2 linked regions of the Mytilus edulis genome follow. The protein of the gene in region 2 interacts with the protein of the main gene of each other region in a pairwise test. Links are inferred from orthologs where the notes say so. Each region holds a gene or a part of one and is shown on either strand. Other genes may lie near its edges.

Region 1 (7,137 bases), on a different chromosome or scaffold from region 2:
GAGAAAAAAAAGTATGGGATCGCCAACACTGCATGCTCAAAAAAGGAAGACATTTTGGTGTAGCTTCGATAGAAAAATGCATATATAGCTTCGACTGATTCCTGGTCCAGGGTTCGGCAATTCTGTTCTTTAAGATGTCAAAATATTTAATTTTAATCCTTTATATGTATACACCATCATCAGAAAAAACCTACGAATTTCACACTGAAAACCATTCACCATATTTCCTAGTTTATTTGATAGTTTCCTATCACACCAGTTTCAATGCCTTTTGATACATATTCAACATGTATTACAGAGCAAACATAATCAGTTTACACTTGAATTTGTAAGAGCATAACATATTACTGACCTTGCAGAACACGGATTTGTAACTTTTTTTTCATCTAATTATTATTATCTTTCAATTTTCTTACTATTTTTATTTACTAGTTTCATTTACTATTTATTTATCTAGATTATTGTGGAAAGGGGGCCCGGGGGACGATGTCAAAACAAAAATATATTTTACCCTCAATAAAAAAAGACGGAAAATCAATCAATATACTTGTCATAAAAATCTATAAAAACTTATTTACTTGTTCAATGAAAGTATATAAAGACTATTAGCATGATACAAATATCAATAAATCGACCAAAAATTAGATTAAAAAACCCTTTACTTTATAAAATGATATCTTTATCAGCAAACAAACAAGACGCAAGCCAATAGACATGACGACAACTGTCATATCTATATCTATATAATACATATTCTTAGACCAATACGATTATTTGAAAAAAATTAAAAAATGCAGGTCGGTTTAACTTTGAGTCTTCTTAATACTATGTTTAATCCCTTTTCTCTACAGAGGGTGGTAGAGGGTTATTTTCGTGCAACGTGTTTTGCCATTTTTATTTCACGTTCAGTCGTGAAAAAGGTTTGTTATTCACCGTGTTTCGTGAAATCGGGAAAAAGATCAACGTGTAAGAAATTTTTAATTGTTCGTTCATCGTGAAATGGCAATTTTATTTCGCGTTCTTCCGTGCAGATACACCCCTTTACACCCCTCTCTACAGATTTTCATTGTTTGTTACTTTTTGTATTATTTTTAAAACAACTAGTTTAACCCAGACACATATAAATATCTGGATGGGGAGTCTCATTAATCTATATTCTTTCATTGTGTAGAACATATTTCTCTATTCTTCTTTTGACGTTTTGTTTATTATTATCTGTTCTGTTCTTGATATTTACGTACACAAAGGTTCTCTATTCTTTATTAGTTTGGCATTTTTTTTTTTCAATTTATCTTTTTTTGCCCATTATCTGTACTCTTGGTACGTTATATTCTCTATTCTATAAACCCCGTATGCAGCCTAAGTTAGGGAGGGACCTCGTCAGGTCGTTTTTTGTATGCCGGTTTGAAGAATTTCATATTAATGGCATGCAGGTTTTTTTTTATCATGTTGATATTTGATTTATTCACATCTTTTATAATTTAAACGATTTAGACTAGGAGCTTGTCTTATTGTTTGGACATCTGTTTATTGTCGTATGTGTTGCATACTTGTTAGATGTTTTTGTTTTTTGTCGTTGCGGATAGCTGTTTCATTGACGCCGATACCTCCCCCTTTTATGTGCTTGACTGAAAATCGTGTAAAGTGTACACATGTGCTTTTCCTTTAATTTCTTTAGCATTTGTAGTTATTGATAGTGTATAATTCTAGGTTAAAAGCTAATGTTAATCTATCTTATAATCTAACTTATTCGGATTTTAAATTTTAAATTGGCCCCAAAGGGGGTCCTTACCTTCCTTTTTGGGGGATTCTGTTGCCATTATAAACTCCTAAGTCATGAGTTCTCAGTGTATTTATATGATAAAGTAACATGTTGCTCTAACATCGAGGTCAACTTTTTATACAAGGTAGATATTATAAATAGGCTTTTGAGTCCAGGATTTAATCCGCAAGAACAAAGATACTTCAATTGAACATTCTTTAAATGTCTTAAAGTATAAATCTTTCAATATTATTACCCTATTTTTCTATCAGTTGACATACAGTAGGTATTTATTTCTAATTTGAATTGAAATTGTCCTCATGTTTGATCAACTGCAATATACCAATTAGAAGAAAAATAGTTGATCGCGTTTCTTTAGCCTTTGTTTACTTTACAACCTTTTTCCAACAATTATCGATGTGTGGACATTTAAATATAGTTTGATCGGTACTAAGAGTGTGTTTATTGGGGGTCCTTCATTTTTGTTTTCATTTCCTCTATTTGTCATATTTAAGGAACTTTTATTCTCTTTTCCTTCTTTGTTTGCCAATTCTTTATTCTTTTATTGGGGGGGGGGGGGGGGGGGGGGGGCATTATTCTGCACTTTTTGTCCACTATCCGATATTGTATAAACCCCACACAGACCCTCTCTATTATTTTGATGGTTTAAATCGGTTAAGGACACCATTGTTTATTAATTATAGGTTAGACTATACTTGGTCATGTTTTATGAAGATTTAAGCCCAAGGCGAAGCCGAGGGCTTAAATCTTCATAAAACATGACCAAGTATTGTCTGACCAATTTAGAACATATTCACACCTACGAGTGACCTTTTAATCTTAGATGCATGATTTTTTTATTAGTTGTTAGTGGCTTTGAACTAGCTGTCAGATAACTACGAGTACTCTCAGATCTGTTCATTGTGTCTTTTGTGTTTGGATGTATAAGTACTCGGCCACGTCCACTTGTATTTTTGTCCATCTGATGAGTTAAGCCTTTTAAAAAAAACGGCACTTTTGCGCGCCCTGGAAAATATATTTGAGGAAGAAAAATAACGGCACTCATGCGTGCCCTGTTAAAGAATGATTTTTATAGTTCGTTCTTATGTTATAGTACCACTGTCTCAGGTTAGGGGAGGGTTGGGATCTCGCTAACATGTCCCCGCCACATTATTTATGTATGTGCCTGTCCCAAGTCAGGAGCCTGTAATTCAATGGTTGTCGTTTTTCTTTTTTCTCAAATGTATTTTACAGGGCGCACAGGAGTGCCGTTTTCTTTCTTTCTCAAATATATTTTCCAGGGTGCGCAAGAGTGCCGTTTTCTTTCTTTCTCAATATATTTAACAGGGCACGCATGAGTGCCGTTATTTTTCTTTCTCAAATATATTTTCCAGGGCGTGCAAAAGTGCCGGTTTTTTTTCTGTCTCAAATATATTTTCCAGGGCGCGCAAAAGAGCCGTTTTTCTTTCTTTCTCAAATATATTTAACAGGGCACGCATGAGTGCCGTTTTCTTTTTTTTATCAAATATATTTTACAGGGCACGCATGAGTGCCGTTTTTCTTTCTTTCTCAAATATATTTTACAGGGCGCGCATGAGTGAACATGAGTGCCGTTTTCTTTCTTTCTCTAATATATTTTACAGGGCGCGCATGAGTGAACATGAGTGCCGTTTTCTTTCTTTCTCAAATATATTTTACAGGGCGCGCATGAGTGAACATAAGTGCCGTTTTCTTTCTTTCTCAAATTTATTTTACATGGCGCGCATGAGTGAACATGAGTGCCGTTTACTTTCTTTCTCAAATATATTTTACAGAGCGCGCATGAGTGAACATATAATTTCAGTCGGTTGATTTTAAGAATTGTAATGAAATTATTTTCTTCTGAATTGTGTGCATGTTATGGGCTTTATGAGATTGGCAGTTAGATCATTCAGTCGGCACGACAGGGTCTACTCGATCGGTTGGTCATCGACTTTTTCCCCCGAGATATCAGTTTTCTTTACTTTTTCTTGTAATCAAATTTAGGAGTATAGATCTGAGGCGATACGTTAGGTACGTTAGTACAACATTTTTTTTGTCAAACAATAAAAGTGTGAACATATTTACATTAGATCAACATGGTTATAAACAAAGGTGCAATAATAGTATAATTAATACAGATATTTGACAGGAAGTACAAATTAGTAACATGATTAAGCACATGTATTAAAAGATTTTAATAACACTTTTGCAAAATTTTGCTATTCCAGTAAGTGTAAATAAATCTGATGTATTCCTCAATTCTTTAAATTTTAAAACATTTTTAAGTTATAACTTCAGTTGAGGAAAAAATATGGCGCGAAATATTACCTCCTCATGACGATTATTCAAGTCACGTGATCAATTCAATATGGCAGCGACCAGGCGGCTTCAGAAGGTAAACAATCCAAAAAACGCTGTAGTAATTCCTATATAAAAGTATATTAGTCAATAAATAGATATAATAAAACAAAGAAACATGGGTCATTCCATTTCGTTGAAACCCTGCCATGTTTTACTTACATTTATTCATAAAAACGAATTTACGAACTTGTGTCTGACTAACCCAGCAACAACAAAAATAAATTCCAGAAACGACAATCGATATATGTTTTTTGTACATTCAATAGAAACATCGTATCTGAAAAATATTTTTTTATATACAGTATTAATCCAATACAGTATATTGCTGTGTTTTTATTGTTTACTCAAATGGGAATAAGAATATTCCAGAAAATATTGTTCCTGGTTTTCCTTTTTTTTTTTAATGAAATTATGTATTAACTTCATGTAAAACGTACAGAAAAGAAGCAAACTTGAATGTTCTAGAGATTAAACATAATATAGACGAGACATTTTATAGACCAGCTTTTTTTGAAGAAAGTTTTTGTTAAAGATATATTGCACATTGTTGTGTAATAGACCTTATCAATATAGAAGAATCTGTGACCCTTGAACCGAGAATTTGTGACTGACTTATGAACTTTTGATGCGATTCAACGATCACACTTCCTTTGTGGCTTCAGAGATATCTAAATTTGAAGGCATTTTGTCGGTCAGAAATTAAGAGTTTGGGATACAGTGGACAAATAGGGTACAACCCCACTTTAATGAATCTGGGTCTGTTTGCCCAAAAATATGTTTGCGCCCATTATCATCCTACTTGTACTTCCGCAACCTACACATTCACACACATTTAATGTTTGGAACAACTTTTCTAAAACAGGGGTCCACTTGTTTCATGCAAGTTAATAATTCTGAAGATAATAAGCATGATAAGTCAAGGAATATTACAACATATTTGGACATGTTTTGACCATATAATACCTGATAGATGTATAGTTTATTGGGAAAAGTTGCATGTACAGTCATTGACAGTCTGCAGTTAAAGTTTTTAAAACATTTATTAGCTTCATAAGCCATCCTGGATTATTACCAAACTTGGACAAAAGCTTCTTACAATCAAAAGATACATTGTAGTATCTAGAAAGAAAAAATAAAAAATTCCCCATTTTTGTTGAGCCTGGGACTAACAGCAAAAGGAGGCAAGACACTGGGTTATGCAGAACCCTAATGTACACATTTTTTTCTAGTATATAAAGTAATCATATGTTCATGGTGTTTGGAAGTTAGTAATAACAAATTTACACATAGAATGCATGTTAAAAAAATTGTATTAAGAATAAGATTGAACTTTTGACTTTTTCTTTTGCAGGAATTGGGAGATTTAAGAAAGGCTGATTTAAAAACGTTTAGAAATATTATTGTAGATGAATCGAATATACTGAAATGGGAAGGATTAATAGTTCCAGTAAGTGTCAGCAATATTAACATGATTTAACATTTTACTTCACATACACATTGTGCCAATTGTTAACAAACATCAACTCAAGTTTCAATGCAATTCAAACACTTGTCCTGACAAAAAATTATAAAAATTCCCATGATGTCTGAAATATTACATATTAGATAGTGTAGACGTAATTTTGTGTACATTTTCATGTATTTACACTAGATTATACACCTAGCACTTAGCTAAAGTAGAGATTCAACTTAAAAGAAACTCAAGACCAGTGGTCTTAGACCACCAACCTTTCTATATTTTCAAACCATAAAACCTATATTGTTTCCAGTATTTTACAGCAAAATTTGAAAAGTATCTAATGAAATTCTTGCATGACAAGATGAAATGAAATGCTGCAGTACTAAAGTAAAAAAATATTATTACTCATGCTCATATTCCCAGGGCCACTTGGCTACCAGATCATATATCAGTTTAACCGTAAGAAATCAGATTAACCAGTCTTTTCCCTACAAGTTTCATTTAGCATCCTGGTATACAGCAAATTATGAAATACATTTGTACCATCTGTATGTAAAATGTAGCTTGTTTCTAGAAATTATAGCATCACACCTATTACACTATCATTACAAAAAGGGAATCATTTTGTAGCATTTTATTACCATTATGCTAAAATTTAAAGGCCGTGGGGAAAGCACTGTTAACTATTGGATTGTTTTCCTTAGATTTAAATTACTTTCCAACTTTTTTTGTTGTTGTCTGAAATACATGTAGTTCTAGAAGAAATTCATCAGGAATAATGGACATGTGTTTTAGTGTTATCATCATTGTCAGTCCCCCTACCTACACGTATAATAAATCTGATGTTTGGAAATTACATGTAGATAAGATTCATTAGGTCACAATAATGAAAAAAATAACTATCAGAAGATACTCAAATTTATTTTAGATACAATGGCTATTTTGTTTGATTGTATATTTACGATGTTTTGTTTTGTAATATTTCAGGATCAGGTTCCGTTCAATAAAGGGGCGTTTAAAGTAGAGATTAACTTTCCTGCAGAGTATCCATTCAAACCACCAAAAGTAACGTTCAAAACAAAAATATACCACCCTAATATTGATGAGAAGGGTCAGGTGTGTCTACCTATCATTAGCCCAGAACACTGGAAACCAGCTACAAAAACAGATCAAGGTAAGGGTGCATAGATAGGAATTATGCAATCAATCTGTGAATGAAGAATGTTCGCACTCTCAAAAAATAAAAAGCTTGTTCTAAATTGATAGTATGTAAATAAAGGATTTAAAAAAGCAGAAAAGAATGGAGGGTCCATAAAACAGGGGGGAATAGGACCTTTATTCAGACTCCAAAATCGGGTGTTTTTAATCTCAGGATTTCGGGATTGATCCTTTTGTGATCCGGGAATTCTTTTTTCGAATTTCGGGACCTCCGGTTGTCGTGTTTTTATTCTTGGATTTCGGGATCAGGACCCCTCCTACCTCCTCTCATATAAGCCATTAAAATTTTGCAAGTGGATTTTGAATAATTGGCAAA
Region 2 (7,106 bases):
CAAAAGTCACCATGAGAATGATTTTTAACTAAATCACAATGTAAATTTTGTATCTACTCATTTGACCATTGTATATTTTGACAGATATATAATGTATATAGGGTCAGGCAAAAATACATAGTATAAAATATTTACCAGTTACTTGTAACTGTGAGAATTGAGCATTTCCTTGTGCTGCAGAGGCTGCTTCTCCCATTATTTGGAAGTCTCACATGTACACCTGTAATACAATTCATAATTTTAAAAATATGATCAAGAGACTTTCATTTGTAGATGCAGAAGGTCAGCATATGATATTCATGGGCAACCAAGTTATACATGTTATAGAGAAAAGTATTACCAATTTTCAATCATGAATGTCAAGAAACAGGGTAAAGTTGTTAGTTTTTTATTGCACTGTACAAGTAAATTTTTGTAAACATGAACACAGCTGATTTTCGATTTCAGCCTTTTTCGGGTCACTTAAGATTTGTCAGTTTTACTATGCTGTCTGTATATAGATACATGCAGGCCCTATTCATTTGATTTTTATGCATTATACTTAAATAAATGTAGTTTGTGTGTTTTAATAATATAAATGGTTTCCTATGAAAATATTTTTTGGAACATACATGCAATTTGTTCTGGTTAATTGTAAACTCCAATACATCTGGCCAAAGATTGGAGTCTTATAACATGTATGACAATGCAACAGACAACTTTCAAGTTCGATGCATTTCTGTCAAAAACATCATGTGTGCTTTAAGGGGCCTTGTCACTTCAGTTCCCATGTTGAGCAATTGGTTGGAAAACTATGATTCTATCATGTCTATCTTGCACGAATTATTCGGCAAATTGGATTTGATAATTTACAATCAGCACTGCTGTCATTAGGGAATTGTGATTAAATACCTACCCAACAAACAATATTTCTAGTTTATCCTGCACAATGATGATCACTAATAGTGCAGGGATACAGGCAATCCCCTCTATCTGGTAAATCATGTCATAAAGACATGCATAATTGATGAGTTTTTTTCCAGTGACAGACAAACTTGAAAGTGGTCTATTTATATCATAGATAAAGAAAGATGTGGTGTGAGTGCCAATGAGACAACTCTCCATCCAAATAACAATTTATAAAAGTAAACCATTATAGGTCAATATGTAATCAACTTTTCCTCATCAATAAATATTGTTTCTTTTCCAAGATCATGAAAATATTGTCCTTAAAACATTGTAAACATGGTAAAACCATAATTCAAAATATTCTTGAATGTAATATGAGGCAGGCAATACCTCTGAATGGAGACGAAGTTTATGATTTTTCTTTTGAATCAACAATGTTAAAAAGAGAAACGGAAATACCATAACGTTTCCGATTTTGGTTCTGTTGTTAGTTGTGACGTCATATTCAATGTAAACAAAGAAACGCTGTCATCAGGTAACGTTATTTTAATAACAATAATTTTTTTTTTAAATGAATTAGTATTAGTTCCTTTCTTAGACATGTTAGACTGATAAATTATAAATATACATTTTATTCAAAGTCTCTTGTAAACAAGACCGGAAACAGAAGTAGATTTCTGCGCAGATCTGGAATTTCAAAATGTGACAAAAATAAAATTGAACGATTTTGAGTTCATTCGTACAATAAAAAATTTGGGAAATTTTCCCGATTTTTTTTTATTTTTTTTTATTGAATTTTCTACTAGAACTGTAATAGGGGACTTCATCCCCATATTATTTACTAATTATCAAAATATGATTAATAGATGTAGCTATTGAGAGTATAAAATATCAATGGGACAACAATGCTGACTACATGTACAAGTAAAAGACAATGAAAGAAAGGTATTTAAGGTCCATATATATTATATGCATGTACATGTATGATATTTGTTGTCTCCACCATTAACATCTGTCTAGTTCTTTCCACATTCAACATGTTCAAAGCACATTCTAATTTTCATGGTGAGGTTTTCCCTGATGTTTAATTTGTGTAAATCTAAATACAATCCCTTATACTTATCCATACTTTTAAATAAACTTATTGTAAAAGGAAACTCATTCAACACCAAATCTATTTGATGTTGGATGTACACTGGTTGATATTTTCCCTGTATTTAGTCTAAGATATATTATATTTTCATTAGTAGATACATGTATGTACAATGTATTTGGACTTTGAACTAGCTTTCAGTAACATGAGTACTCTCAAATGAGGGGTTGTCACTCATTTGATTTGTTCCCCATTTGGCGGGTTGTCTCCAACCTTTTATTTAAGGCTACAGGAACATTGAAAAATGTGCTCGCCCAAATGTGCTTGCATATTTCCACACAAAAAATAATGAGTCTTGCAAGTTGAATGAAAAATAACCAATATCTGATTTGATTGTTCTTTGATTTTACATCACTGAACCTAATGACATTTGCACAACTTACTCTTAAGATGTGCCATATAAATTATTTTGTTGTGATGCATAATATAATAATTTACAGGAAAACATTATTTTTCCTTCAAAAGACATGTTACTGATCATGCTGATAGATAACGATGTAAGCAATCTTTAGATTTTAAATTTTAAACTGTACAACTATACCTTTGTAATCATGATTTTTCAAAATTAGAATGTCTTTTAATCTATCTTACCTATATGTAATTATAATTCTTGTGAAATATGCGACTATGTCACATGATGTAATAAAAAGAGCTTTCAAAACCATGAAAACAGTCTATACTGAATAGTTTTAACTCAATTTATTCAATAGTCATGATAATAAAGGATCATATGGTGCATGTCCAATGATTAACAGATAATACTTTTAGGACAACATTTTACATAAAATATTTAAGTCGTGTGTAAAGCAGGATGTTGTTAAGTTTGCTGTGACAACTTTGACGATTTGCTATGTTTTCTTTTTTTCAACTGAAATATTTGATATATTTTTAAAACACAACTTTTTGATATGTGTGAGAATTTGTATTGGGGCATCCCTGCAATGCGCATTTTGACAATATTGACCTGTATTTGGTTACGAACGAGCACTGTCAAAACAGTTTGATGTCCACCATTTCTTATTGGTCATGTGATCAATGACGTCGAAAGTTGTTATATTCATATATGTTTTTACAATCTTTACAAAATATTCTATACTTTTTCCTAATTTCTGTGCTTTAAAATAAATGATTTTTGCAATAAATACCATTTTCTAATTTTTTTCAATTAAGATATTTTGTAAAAAAAATAAAATCATATAAACGCTTTAAAGTAAGACAAATAATCTCTATCAGAATAGTTGCCTTTTGACATTGAATCTCATGTGGACAGCAAATGAGAAATGTCACAAAAAAGTGTAAAGCATGTGATAGCCGATGCTGGGGCTTTCATACGAAATGCCCCATTACAGGTACAAACAATACACAATTACCATTTATTGATATCTACCAGGATGTTTGTTTTTTTCAACTTCACACATGTATGTTAAAGTACTAGTGAAGTGCCTTTTCTTATACCCCCTGACTAAAAGTTGTACTATAGTATATATAGCCTTACCTATGACGGTTAAAGTCTTCTCAAGCCTTATAGTACTGTTTAATATACTGGACAATATTAGTATTTGGATCACAAGTGTATGGTTGTCATGCCATATGGGCATACTCCTAGTCATACATATCATATCAGGTAATATGAGGCATTACCTGTAAATGAGGACGAAGTCTGTATGATTTTTTTTTAATTCAAACATGTTTTTAAAAGAAACGGAAATACCGTAACGTTTCCAATTTTGGTTCTGTTGTTAAAAAAACAGGGATGAAAGATACCAAAGGGATAGTCAAACTCATAAATTTATAACAAACTGACAACGCCATGGCTAAAAATAAAAAAGACAAACAGAAAAACAATAGTACACATGACACTAATTGTTAGGGATTTAGTTGTGATGTTATTTAGTTATGACGTCTTATTCAATGTAAACGAAGAAACACTTTCATCAGGTAACTTTTTTTTATATAAATTAATTAACCCTTTCAACGCTATACACAGCATATGCCGCGATGACATTATATGAAATATGATTTGATCGATCATTACGAGACGAAGAAAAAGGGGGGAAAACGGAGGTTGACTGAAAATTTTGAGGACGAAGCCACTGATTTGTGCCACGATTACATAATATGTTGTGTATGGTGCAATACGCTACGGAATCGAGCAATTGGTGTCGTCTTTATTATATGGCAGATAAAACAACAAAATAGATGAAGACTAAAAGTAGTTTTGATTCAAAATTCAACATAAATGTAATAAATTACACCTATTACCTGTTAATTACCTGAAAATGCAGGTAACCTGATAATAATTTTACTGAAATAACTGCCTAATATTACAGTTCATACTCTCCTGAGCATTTTTCATGCTATAACTTTCTCTTTATCTTTTATAATAAAAAAGATACAGCAGTCTGAAAAGGAATATACTGTTCTAATGAATGAACACAAAAAAAAATGCAGCAGCAGCAGCCATTGTCTATTTTTTTGTGTAGCATTGAAAGGGTTAAAAATGAATTGGTATTGAGTTCCAATCCTATAGTCCTGAGTTCTATAGTATATTGAAAAATTCGGGAAATTTTCACGATTCTTTTTTTTTTATTGATTTTTCTACCGTAAATGAGGCAGGCATTACATGTGAAAGGGGACGAAGTCTATGATTTTTTTTTTATTCAAACATATTTTAATTTCAAAACGGAAATACCGTAACGTTTCCGATTTTGGTTCTGATGTTAGGGATTTTAGTTGTGACGTTGTTTAAGTTATGATGTCATATGCAATGTAAACAAAGAAACGCTCTCATTAGGTAATTTTTAAAGGCAGTGCTTTAAGGCCTGACTTTTAAGTCATGAGGTTCATCTTTTCATACGCAATCTATGCTGGGGGTCTTTTGGCCAGAAATAGATCCGGAAATGTTCGAATTTCTCCTCTTCTTTTTATGGTATGATATGGTTTTTGTTTCTTTCATTTACATTGGGGACTAAAGAAACGATCAGTGTGTATTGTTCGTTTTATAGAACTTGTTATTAGTGTGTATTTTGCATTATAAGCAGTCAACCTGACTACAAACTATCATTATTAGTATATTCCGTGTGGAAAGAGGTCGGGTCAATTTCAAGTGTTATCTGACATCTAAAGATTCTTTAATTAGTTCAGACGTTGATATAACAATGAAAAGTCGACTGAACATGATTAATATTGCACCTTCTATAATTCAAAGCGGAATTCGGTTTATGAACGAGAAACCGTAAAGCGTTTTCAATTTCGGTATTAGTTATGTATGTTGTCTACGTATTATCCTGGTTCCCGGTACTACGTTCCGGGTATTAGCTATTTGATATATTTGATGTGTAACATTACAATCGGGTACCAGCCAATCTACGTGTGTATGTGTACATGATTTACCGCCAAAATGACCGACTTAAAAAATAGTCCATAAACGTTCCGTATAATGATATGCAAATTCATAATTAATCGTAACTTTTTTTATCTTTGTATAATTAATATAACAAAATGGATTCCACAAAATTGAAAATAGCATTATTTTACGAGGATTTCTCATATTTTTTTCACTTCCGGGCGCAGTAATACGTATGTTTTAAAGAAGCTCGAAGAATTTGACAAAGTGAATTGAGAAGGAAACGGATAGATATACGTCCTTGCTATCAGGTAAAACAATTTAAATGTTCAGAACAAACACATTTACTTCACACAAATAGTACAGGCTTAAGCTTTTTATTGTCTAGCTTATACACGACTGTAGTCAAGTGTTTAAACGACGGCGGTGACCTACAAGGTACGGGTCATACTGGGTCAAGTCTAAATATGTAAACATATCCACGTGCTATTAGGTAGAACGCATCGTAATGCAATATCTACAATTTTTTCCTCCTTTATACATCGTTTAACCAGATATATTTCTCCTTTTTACATCGTTTAACCAGATTTATTTCTCTTTCAAATACACTTAAACACGGGTTGTATGTACGTATCTTTTCTAGTGTTTTAAAATTTCTTGTCCTTATTAAAGTTCATTTGTTGATGTTTAAATATTTTTGAACGACTGAACACAGGAGTGAATGAATGCAACAATTATATATATACTGAAGACTTGGGCTGTACAATGATAGTGTACGTATATCATACTGATAATTATTCTAGCAGTAATTATGTTAATTTAGGATGTAATGTCTAATGACAGGAATTCATGAGCTATGCCTCAGGCTTTCTGAAAAAATATCAATGACAATGTAAACAGGAACAAAACATTGACACGAATGATGCTCTCTTCTATGTTATATTAATATATAGTTATTTAGGTATATGTGTTGCACAAGTTTCAATTAAACTTAAGTTATAAAACTTTTTTTCAGGGCACAAACCCACTTTAAAGAGACTTGTCTACTGCCATACCCATCCTATTTTTATGCACCATTTGCAAGCAAGAGACTGAATGGTTTGCAAAATTTAAAATCAGGACGGTGTCCAATTAAAACAAAAGAACTAAACTGGATGAATATTGTAGGAGAAATCTAGAGGAAAGTTTTGATTTGTGAAATTGGTTTTTCTGAAAAGTCATTCATCCTAGCCTGCAGAAAGGAACTATAACTGTCCACCACCAACTGACGAGCTAATGTTGAGCTTCACATATGGAATTACTCAAATACCATCAATGTCTATGTTTTCAGCACAGATTTCACAATTTATGACACAGCTGTGCTTTTTTTTATACCTGTTAAAGAGTTGTATACTAAATTTTATTTTTTTATCAATAAATATATATTATATTAATTGTGTCATCTAAGAACTTGTATTTTGCCAAAAGATGCATACTAGTGAATGAAAGTGGTGCAGTTCATTTTGCTTTGGTATATAGAATTGAATTACAATTGTTCATGTTATTGGAATGCATATAAAAATAAGGAGATGTGGTACACTGTATATGATATTTAGTGAGTTTATCAAGCAAAAGTGAATAAGAAATAGGTATAAGCAGTTACAGGTACTACTGTACAATCTCAAACAATGAGAAAAACTCGTACCGTAAAGAGAATTTCATATTTACAAGTAAGTTTTG

The links.
Region 1: the proteins of NEDD4-like E3 ubiquitin-protein ligase WWP1 (region 2) and ubiquitin-conjugating enzyme E2 L3-like interact in binary tests that used the Caenorhabditis elegans proteins (3 or more experiments, as listed by UniProt). The link is inferred for Mytilus edulis from reciprocal best matches to the Caenorhabditis elegans genes wwp-1 and ubc-18.

Annotation. Positions count from the first base shown.
Region 1 is NC_092349.1:14,319,134-14,326,270, forward strand, and holds the start of ubiquitin-conjugating enzyme E2 L3-like, read left to right. Parts: upstream 1-4,048; 5' UTR 4,049-4,151; coding exon 4,152-4,178; intron 4,179-5,495; coding exon 5,496-5,591; intron 5,592-6,590; coding exon 6,591-6,777; intron 6,778-7,137. Other genes in the region: BTB/POZ domain-containing protein 6-like, read right to left, coding at 1,793-1,820. UniProt on the Caenorhabditis elegans protein: Ubiquitin-conjugating enzyme E2. Accepts ubiquitin from the E1 complex and catalyzes its covalent attachment to other proteins. Required for diet restriction-mediated lifespan extension, probably acting as part of a complex with ubiquitin-protein ligase wwp-1.
Region 2 is NC_092348.1:11,608,077-11,615,182, reverse strand, and holds the start of NEDD4-like E3 ubiquitin-protein ligase WWP1, read right to left. Parts: upstream 3,093-7,106; 5' UTR 3,006-3,092; intron 221-3,005; 5' UTR 197-220; coding exon 136-196; intron 1-135. Other genes in the region: RNA-binding protein NOB1-like, read left to right, coding at 3,322-3,390. UniProt on the Caenorhabditis elegans protein: E3 ubiquitin-protein ligase which accepts ubiquitin from an E2 ubiquitin-conjugating enzyme in the form of a thioester and then directly transfers the ubiquitin to targeted substrates. Ubiquitinates klf-1.